Bombyx mori: one gene and its partner. The protein of the gene in region 2 purifies or fractionates together with the protein of the main gene of each other region. This does not show direct contact. Links are inferred from orthologs where the notes say so. Each region holds a gene or a part of one and is shown on either strand. Other genes may lie near its edges.

Region 1 (4,353 bases), on a different chromosome or scaffold from region 2:
TTAAATGTAATTTAAGGGCTCCTTTTTGAAATTTAACAATACAACTCTTAAAGTGTATTTTATATATATCGTGATTGTTGTCTTTATACACATTTTCCCCTCATATTGGGTCTATCAAGCTCTGGTGAAGTGTATATCTAAAATACCATAAGTGTATATGTTAGGGAGCGACTTGCATTTACATCAATCTGATAAGCTTTATCCACAGGTTAGGTAGAATCTGGCGCCAAGTTCCGTTCAAAAATCCCGTTGTAAACGGAGCGCCAGACTACCGACTGTGTTTACTGTAAGCAGAACGGTTTTTTGAGGTTGCGAAATTTTATTTAATCAAATAATTACATACTTTACGCTTTAAGCTTATATCGGATTCAGAGTAATGAATTGTAAGGGATAATAATGAAGTATACATAAATAGACAGAAATTTATTATTATTGTTATTATTATACATTAAATCAGTAAGTACACAGTTAAATTACAATCCAGTCGTTTTCCTGCTATTTTGATCCCTTAAAAATGAGGACTGGCATGAGCCATGAAAGTCGTAAGTCTAACTAAGCTCTCATGAGAGAACTTGGTTCTAGAACTTAGTATGTATATTATTTCATTATGGTAAATATGACACCTCCTTTCTCAGGCTCCTCATCATGAACTTCTTTGTCACTGCCCTCACCATCAGACTCATAATCATCACTATTGGTGTCTCGGTATGAACCAAACCTTGATAAATCCAATGGCAACTGACTCATTTTGACTCCAGCCATTGAAGCCAGCCTCTCAGCTGCATGTAATGCATTCACCTCTTTAAGACGTAAGTTATGTTCTTGCTGGAGTTTTAATGAGTCTTCTATGGATAATATTTTTGCTGGCCCATGTATTGTAGGAGGAGGTGTGGCAGCAGTCACCTCCCATTTTTTACATTTGTTCTTTCCTCTTTGTATTTCCTTTTCTGGGTTGTGGACATCTGTGTTTGTGGTCTTATGTGGCTTAAACTGTCTCGTTACTTTGGCTTTGGTGTTGTGTTCCGTTTTGTTAACTATATATCTTACGTGGGGGATCTCATCTATCTTGATTAGATCTTCAGGGGTTATCGAAAGTTTTTCAGGTTCTAAAATCTTAATTTTTTTCTCATGGAATGAGTTCTGAGTCAAGATTTTTAGGACATCTTCAGGGTCACTGTCGTCATCTGAATCTAAATCTGTGGATTGTTTAATTGTACCTGTCCATTCTAATTCTTGTACGGATTGTTTGTCAATTCCATTCAGTTTCATATTTTCGAACATCCGACACGCATCTTCTTCCTCTTGCTTCGCTTTTAATTCGGATAAGATTTTATCGTACAAAATCTGTATTTTAGCACCTTTGTCACTTAGTTTAGATATAAAACTTTTATTGTTTAATAACTTAATTTGTCTATCTCGTAGTTCAAGCAACTCAGGAATAGTTTTTAACGATAGATCGGTGATTTTTCCATCGATTTCTGTTTTTGGCGGCGGCGGCAAGATACCAGGTATCCTTTTATTTATCTTGTTCATTATTTATATATTTTCAATTAGTTTTAACGCATTCACATTTTTTAACGATCTTAATTCCTGTTATTACTGTAACATTGACTAATTCTTTTTTTGTACTTACATTTGCAACAACTACTACTACATTCACATGGAATCTAAAAGATTTATATAGGTAAAAATACTAAAAATACTGGATTTGGTTAACTTTTTGTGGAAATAGAAAACACTAGCTGTTTGTTTGTCACTTTTGCCCTTTTTTGTTATTTTGTCAACTAGGACAAAGGAAACATAGCCTATTCAACCTTAAATTGTGAATTCGAACTCATATTGTGATTTAAACAAGAAGTGAAGTGAAATGAAGTATAGTAGAATGCAACAAAATTAAATAGATATAACGTTGGTAAAATGGAGAGAAAGTATATTTCGTGAGATTTGTGTAAGAATTCGAAAAGCCATGAACTTAAATTAAATCCTTTTCCCCCTCATCATCATTATAGTCGGTTGCTCTTGGCAAAGCAGTCGTGGTCATGTGAAATTGTTGTTTATTAAAGCCTTGACAGATGTTTTCCATAATTTGCAAACCCCACTTAACGAGTGCGTGCGCACTCGTTAAGTGGGGTTTTAGTAAAGTCTTTCACCTGATCAGTCCAGCGCATGGAGATTTGTCCACGAGATCTCTTACCATTTACTCTACCCTGAACAACAAGTTTCTCGATAGACTCTGCGGGCCCTACCTATTCGCTATGGAGCTATTCCAATTACGCTATGGCGGGTAGGTGAGCTTACGGGTATTAAACTAAGAGAGTTTGCTATCAATGACCCTAGCAAAAACAGTGCTTCACAGAATCTACTACCGGATCTCGGGATCGCGACCCACTGATAAGATCCGGCGAGAAGCTCATTAGGTTGTGCCTTGACATCGTCCTCTATGATAATGAAAGGAAATAGAGCTTATACACGGAATACTTCTTTGCTGCTTTGAAATTTGCATCTATTGAGTTTGATCTCCAAAATGACCTTCCGCATTTAAAATATCTTTACTTTAAATCAATTAAGTAAAATCAATTCTGCCAAACATTTTGTGTGAGGTTTAGGGCTGCCACATCCAAAACCTTGGGTTTCAAAGAGTGTCGCAAAAATCCAATTTCCATAATGAAAAATAAGTGAAGTGGCATAGATACTACATTTTTTTGTGTTGCCCAGCAGTTGGAGCATCAGGTAATGAATACTCCAAAGGGTCCCACAAACAAGTTCGAAAAGGAATGACGGCGAGTAGCGAAAGAGTCGCGGGCGTACACTCGTGTGTATGCTTCGGGGGGCATTTAAACGGCAGGCTTACCTTACAATAAAAAGTGAGTAGTCTGTGCCTTGCTAAGTTGTTGTTGCTTCTTATTGATGTCTTATCTATGCTTGCTATTTAAGACGTTTTACTGAGGACTTTTTGGCAGGAACGCGAGGGGTGAAGTTGTATAATTTTGTCTATTTGGTATTTCTTCACGTTTAAATGTGTAACTAGATGATGACCGAGCTTTGCTCGTTTTTTTTTTGATGACGCCATCTTGTTGTGTCTTTAAATAGTATTATTATTCGCCAATAGATGTCGGGAAAGTTGATTATTGTAAACACGAATAAAACAAAATTTTCTGAAAATAAATCGTAGCTAGATCGATTTATCGCCCCCGAAATCCCCTGTATACTAAATTTTATGAAAATCGTTGGAGCCGTTTCCGAGTTTCAGATTATACATATATATATATATATATACAAGAATTGCTCGTTTGAAGGTATAAGATAACGGTGATTTATTAACTGTTTAATATCTGTGAAAGTGCACAGATGTGGGAAAATGAAACAAAGCCGCTGGACGTAACTTCTCGGGATCCTCCAAAAAGTCCACTGAAAAAATCTCAGTAAATGAAGGTAAATGACCACCAATATTATATATCATAGATTATATCTCATCTCATATCATCTCATTTAATTTTATCCCAGTTGATTAATGTCTCAAATTAATCATCTTCATTTCATTTCATTTCACTCCATAATACCATTTTTCATAAAAATATGAATATAAATTAAAATAAGATATGATCTAAAGGTCTTAGTTACCAGGTCATAAAATCCCTTTAATAAAAAAACGTTTTACTGATCTGTGGTTAAATATGTCATAGAATTTAGATCATAGAGTAAACACATATTTTAGATCATAATTATCTAGAAAAATATTATGTACACGAGTGAAATTATACAAATTATAAACAATGCGCAAGTCCAATGCTTAGTTAAAATATTATGTAGGAATAATTAGTGTATAAGTTATGTGATCCAAGAATTCTAGAACACCAAGAGATCTAAGAGTAAAGTAATTTAAAGGAACAGATTCAACACTCAAGAGACATGGAAGGAACGGTATTCTAAATAAATAATCATACTTTGCATAAATTTTCATTTATCACCTGATTTTCATCTAACAAGTACCCAAGTATTACAAACTAAAAGTATCATAAAGATCATTTAAATGATAATAATTTGACTCAAATTAATTGTACCACAAACTATATAGATGATTTTATCATTGAAATGAAAACAATGACCAAATGAACATAAATAGCACACGTTTTCTTACTTTATCCTTTTTTGAGGTACAGGATGCTGGGAGCATACACTGGTTGGTTGTACTATGGTGACTCTTTCAATTTAGTCGGGAAATCCAGTTTGATGGGTAGAATGTCTAACATTTTCATGTTTCGCATTTTGAAAGGGACAGTCGAATCCATAAGCTGTATCTGGTTAAATACTGAATGTTTCACTTTGACAACAAAGAATCATAGCAGACAATTT
Region 2 (4,104 bases):
TGTGATTTACAATATACATTTAGGGAAAACTATGAAAAAATTGTCCAGAATTCGACATTATGTTTAGCTTTTGAATTAAATAAATTTCATTTCAAACTTTTTTTGCACCTTTTCAAAAATAAATGTCAGTAATAAAAACAAAAAGATTGTTTTTTTTTTCAAAGCAGAATCTGTGACACCTTACAATATAACACATGACTTAATAGCAATTGTGACTATTTTATTATTTTTTTATTGCACGACCAACTTATGTTGAAAGTAAATGGAGGACTGATTAGTTTTCTACTATATACTTATATACAAATATTCCATCATGGATATTTTAAACATAATTATTAAAACAATGTCTTACAATGCCACTCGCGTCAACCCTCGTACCAACAATCTTTAATCGGATCACATCCTCTTCTTGTATTACGCTATCCTCTTGTTTACTCTTATAACATGGAGGATTTACATTAGGACAGAACTCCATATAGTCTGGTATTGACTGTAAAATAAAAATATTTTTATAATTTCATTTTATGGTACAAAAATTTGTAAACCTTTCTGGGTTATAAAATATTATTTGGTAGTATAAGACAAAGGGAAGATCTTTCACCAAACGGGTGTAATTGGTAGATGGGCTGAGGGGCTCAATATTTTTAGGAAGGAATACTCTTGATAATTTTAAAATAATTTAAGCTTAATTATATAATTCACTCTGAATACTCACATGATGGGATATAAAACATTTGAGAGGTCCTATTTGCGCAAACATGCCAACCTAAAAACATTAAACATAGTAAATTTACAATTTTAATTACGACTTGATGTGGCTGTGCCCTTGGCATTACTGACATGAACGATAGTTACTACTTGCCATCAGATAAGTTGTAAGAGGGCCTGACAACAACGGTATTAAAAAAATTATGGGCGGAAAACCTTGTAAGTGGCTCTTTAAATTAAATTTGATTTATTTTACTTAATAAAAGAGACATTTTAGTATACACCTATCCCCTATTTATACTGAAGATATATCAGTTACAAAACAGTGTAAAATAAAATCTTTATTTGTGCTATTTGAAAGCATGTAAAATAAACTTCCGCTACTACTACAGCACTAATATTTTTTTCAATTGCTTTTTCATGATCTACTTTCTGTTTGGTTACATATTAAAGGTATATAATTCACTTAATGCATGTGACATACCACAATACAGAGACTAGTACATTATTGCATCAGTGTTGCCAAATTAATGAGACCCAATAATGTTAATATGCAACCAATGTATACATTTTCATAAATTTACATAATGTGAAAAAGCCAAAATCAAGTATAATAGGTACCGTATAAATAGGGGGTAGGTGTTACTAAAGTAAACTGTTGATTTATAAATGGTGGTACTAAAACAGCATACTCTAGATTAATTACAGGGTGAAGGAAACTTTTTCTGAAAATATAACCGCAATATAATAAAACTAACTTATAATATTTGTTATTTTGTAAGTTTCTATTTGTGATTAATTTCACTTTGTTAGGAATTACCAGTTCTACTATCTTACTTCAGAAAAGATTCCAACTCACCCGAAATAACATTAAGCATAATTTTAATAGTTTAAGTCACCTTGTTTACTTGTGTGACAATACCATCTAAAACTTCTCCTTTGAATGGTCTGAACACAACAGCTTTGTATTTAACAGGGTACATGACAAACCCTTGTCCATGTTGTATGAGACCAGCTCCGATATTGTCTATTTGAGTTACCGCGATGACAAATCCATATCTAAAAATGTTTTGCTTTTCACTGTATTTTGTTCACAAATTGCACAATAAATTCAGAGAACAGTTAGTTAAATATGTAATGGCAGTAAGGCAATATTTGAGCTTTTTTCAGTGAATACCAACCACCCTCTAGTTTATTTTTGCCACAAAGCAATCCTTCATTCCAGTTTGAAGTGTGGTAAAGGAGTTTGGAATGCCATTGAGATATCAACTCAATTTATCATTAAGTGATATTATACATTGATGTTGCTATAATAATTATACATTGATATTATAATTGTTATGGGCTCAGATAACCACTTTTTAACAATTGTTCCATAAATCATGAAATAATTTATCTAGAGCCAGGTTTCCTAATGTTTTTTTTTTTTATTGCTTAGATGATTGCTAACGGGATCAGTTTAGCAAATTTTAAAATTGGTAAGTGTTTTGTATTAATAGGAAAAAAACTAGAGAAAGGGTTTTGTAAAAGTGATTTTGCTATGGGCTATGGAAATAGTTTGGGCATCCCAGATCTAGAATAATAAATATAAAAAGCAAAAGTTACTGTCAGTTCCTGTTTAAGCCTATTTCAGACCTTATTTTCTATTCATGTAACACTTGTGAGTAGAGTGCGACTTCTGAGCAGCAGCTGCAGGGAAGACAGTTCATTCCAGTATTTATTTCCGATATTAAAGATGAAAAGTATTTTATACACTCCATAGTTACAGAAATAAATATAATGTGGAAATTAGCGAAGCGTTACTCACATCGCAATCAAGTCGCTAGGTCTTGTTCGAACATAACTCAGTGGGCCTACGGCCAATTAATACCGACTTACTTGCCAGTACAGGTGCCTTCCACATCAGTGTATAGCTTCTGTTTGACTGTCTCCAATAGTTGTGGACCGAAATATTTCGGATGTAACAAAATTTCGTGCTCCAATGAAATCTGAAAAGTTTTATTTACAAAACGAATGCATTGGCGTTCATTTTAAACAGAGTGAAACAGGAAAATAAAATATCATACGTGGTAGAACATTTTTCAGCGGTGGACAAATTACGATTAGTATTCCATTCAATTAGATTTGTTTTATTGTTATTTTTTAGTAATATACATAAACAGCATCAACTCTCAACACTGCATGCTAATTTTAAATTTTAAACCAAATTGAAAATTGAGTCATGTCAACAGTCAATGTCATTATTTTTCCTTTAATTTGAGCATTGGACAGGCAGAAGGAATGTAACTTAAACGGCTAAATGCAAATTTTGTTATTGTTGTACTAGTAACGTGGATTGCATTATTAACAAACGAGCAACGACCTCTCGATATTTTCGTTTAGTCATAAATTAGAAGTAGTTGCTAAAAATACCAAATCATAAATAAACACATAATCAACACTTTTCACCTAGCACAAAAAATTAAAAAAAAATCAAATATCAATTACTTATAATCATAAACAAACTTCCTTATTTATAGTTCATATAAATAAATTTAAGTTACAAATATTTTTTACATAATTTATGTAAATAAATGTTTATTTTTTCAATTTAACTATTATTAAAAAAATCAGTATCTCATGTGACTAATTTACTATAGAAAATTAAAATTCGTTTCACATCACTAGTGGAGATTGAAAAATGCCAAATGAATGGCAGGCTATGTGTATTAGCGTAATCAGATTGTTGTAAAAATGGCAAAAACTTACGATTGTTTATTCAAATTACTTCTAATCGGAGATTCGGGAGTGGGAAAAACATCAATACTATTTAGATTTTCTGAAGATGCATTTAACATCTCCTTTATATCCACAATTGGTAAGTGGTTTCTTCAGATCAAAAGTGTCAGTGAAGAATTTTTTTGTACACTTATTGTAGGTAATGGAAGTGTTTTTTGTTTCCTATTCATTGTTTCATTTTTTAAATACATGATGATCAGGGCGCGGCCTTTATAACGAAACCCTTATTAATTTAAAGGACACTAGAATTAATGACATCATACTCACTAATTTTAATTAGTCCCTCCAGTTTCAATGGGTTTTTGTTTCCAGGTATCGACTTTAAAATTCGAACAATAGACCTTGATGGCAAAAAAGTTAAATTACAAATATGGTGAGTTTTATTCTTTAACAAAAGATTATCATATTTGGATTAAAGAAATTTAAAAGTTGTTTCATTGTTATTTTTACTGTAGATTTATGTATTAAAATTATATTTTACATGTTCATTATCAGTATGTAAGTAATAATCAATGAATTAATGTACATTATAGTTTGTCTCACATTGCATATTTAATCTTCTTACATTATTTTTTTTGGTAATTAATTTGAATCACTGGATTATTGTATTACAATAAT

Evidence for each region.
Region 1: the proteins of DNA-directed RNA polymerase II subunit RPB7 (region 2) and uncharacterized protein LOC101743276 purify together in Homo sapiens (affinity purification with mass spectrometry; 4 studies listed by BioGRID and IntAct, counting the BioPlex papers as one, with this or other methods). This does not show direct contact. The link is inferred for Bombyx mori from reciprocal best matches to the Homo sapiens genes POLR2G and POLR2M.

The regions. Positions count from the first base shown.
Region 1 is NC_085116.1:3,263,962-3,268,314, forward strand, and holds uncharacterized protein LOC101743276, read right to left. Parts: upstream 2,860-4,353; 5' UTR 1,534-2,859; coding exon 598-1,533; 3' UTR 409-597; downstream 1-408.
Region 2 is NC_085131.1:4,005,981-4,010,084, reverse strand, and holds the start of DNA-directed RNA polymerase II subunit RPB7, read right to left. Parts: upstream 2,946-4,104; 5' UTR 2,787-2,945; coding exon 2,775-2,786; intron 2,697-2,774; coding exon 2,587-2,696; intron 1,768-2,586; coding exon 1,608-1,767; intron 767-1,607; coding exon 716-766; intron 491-715; coding exon 353-490; intron 1-352. Other genes in the region: small GTP binding protein RAB8, read left to right, coding at 3,442-3,565, 3,799-3,859. UniProt on the Homo sapiens protein: Core component of RNA polymerase II (Pol II), a DNA-dependent RNA polymerase which synthesizes mRNA precursors and many functional non-coding RNAs using the four ribonucleoside triphosphates as substrates.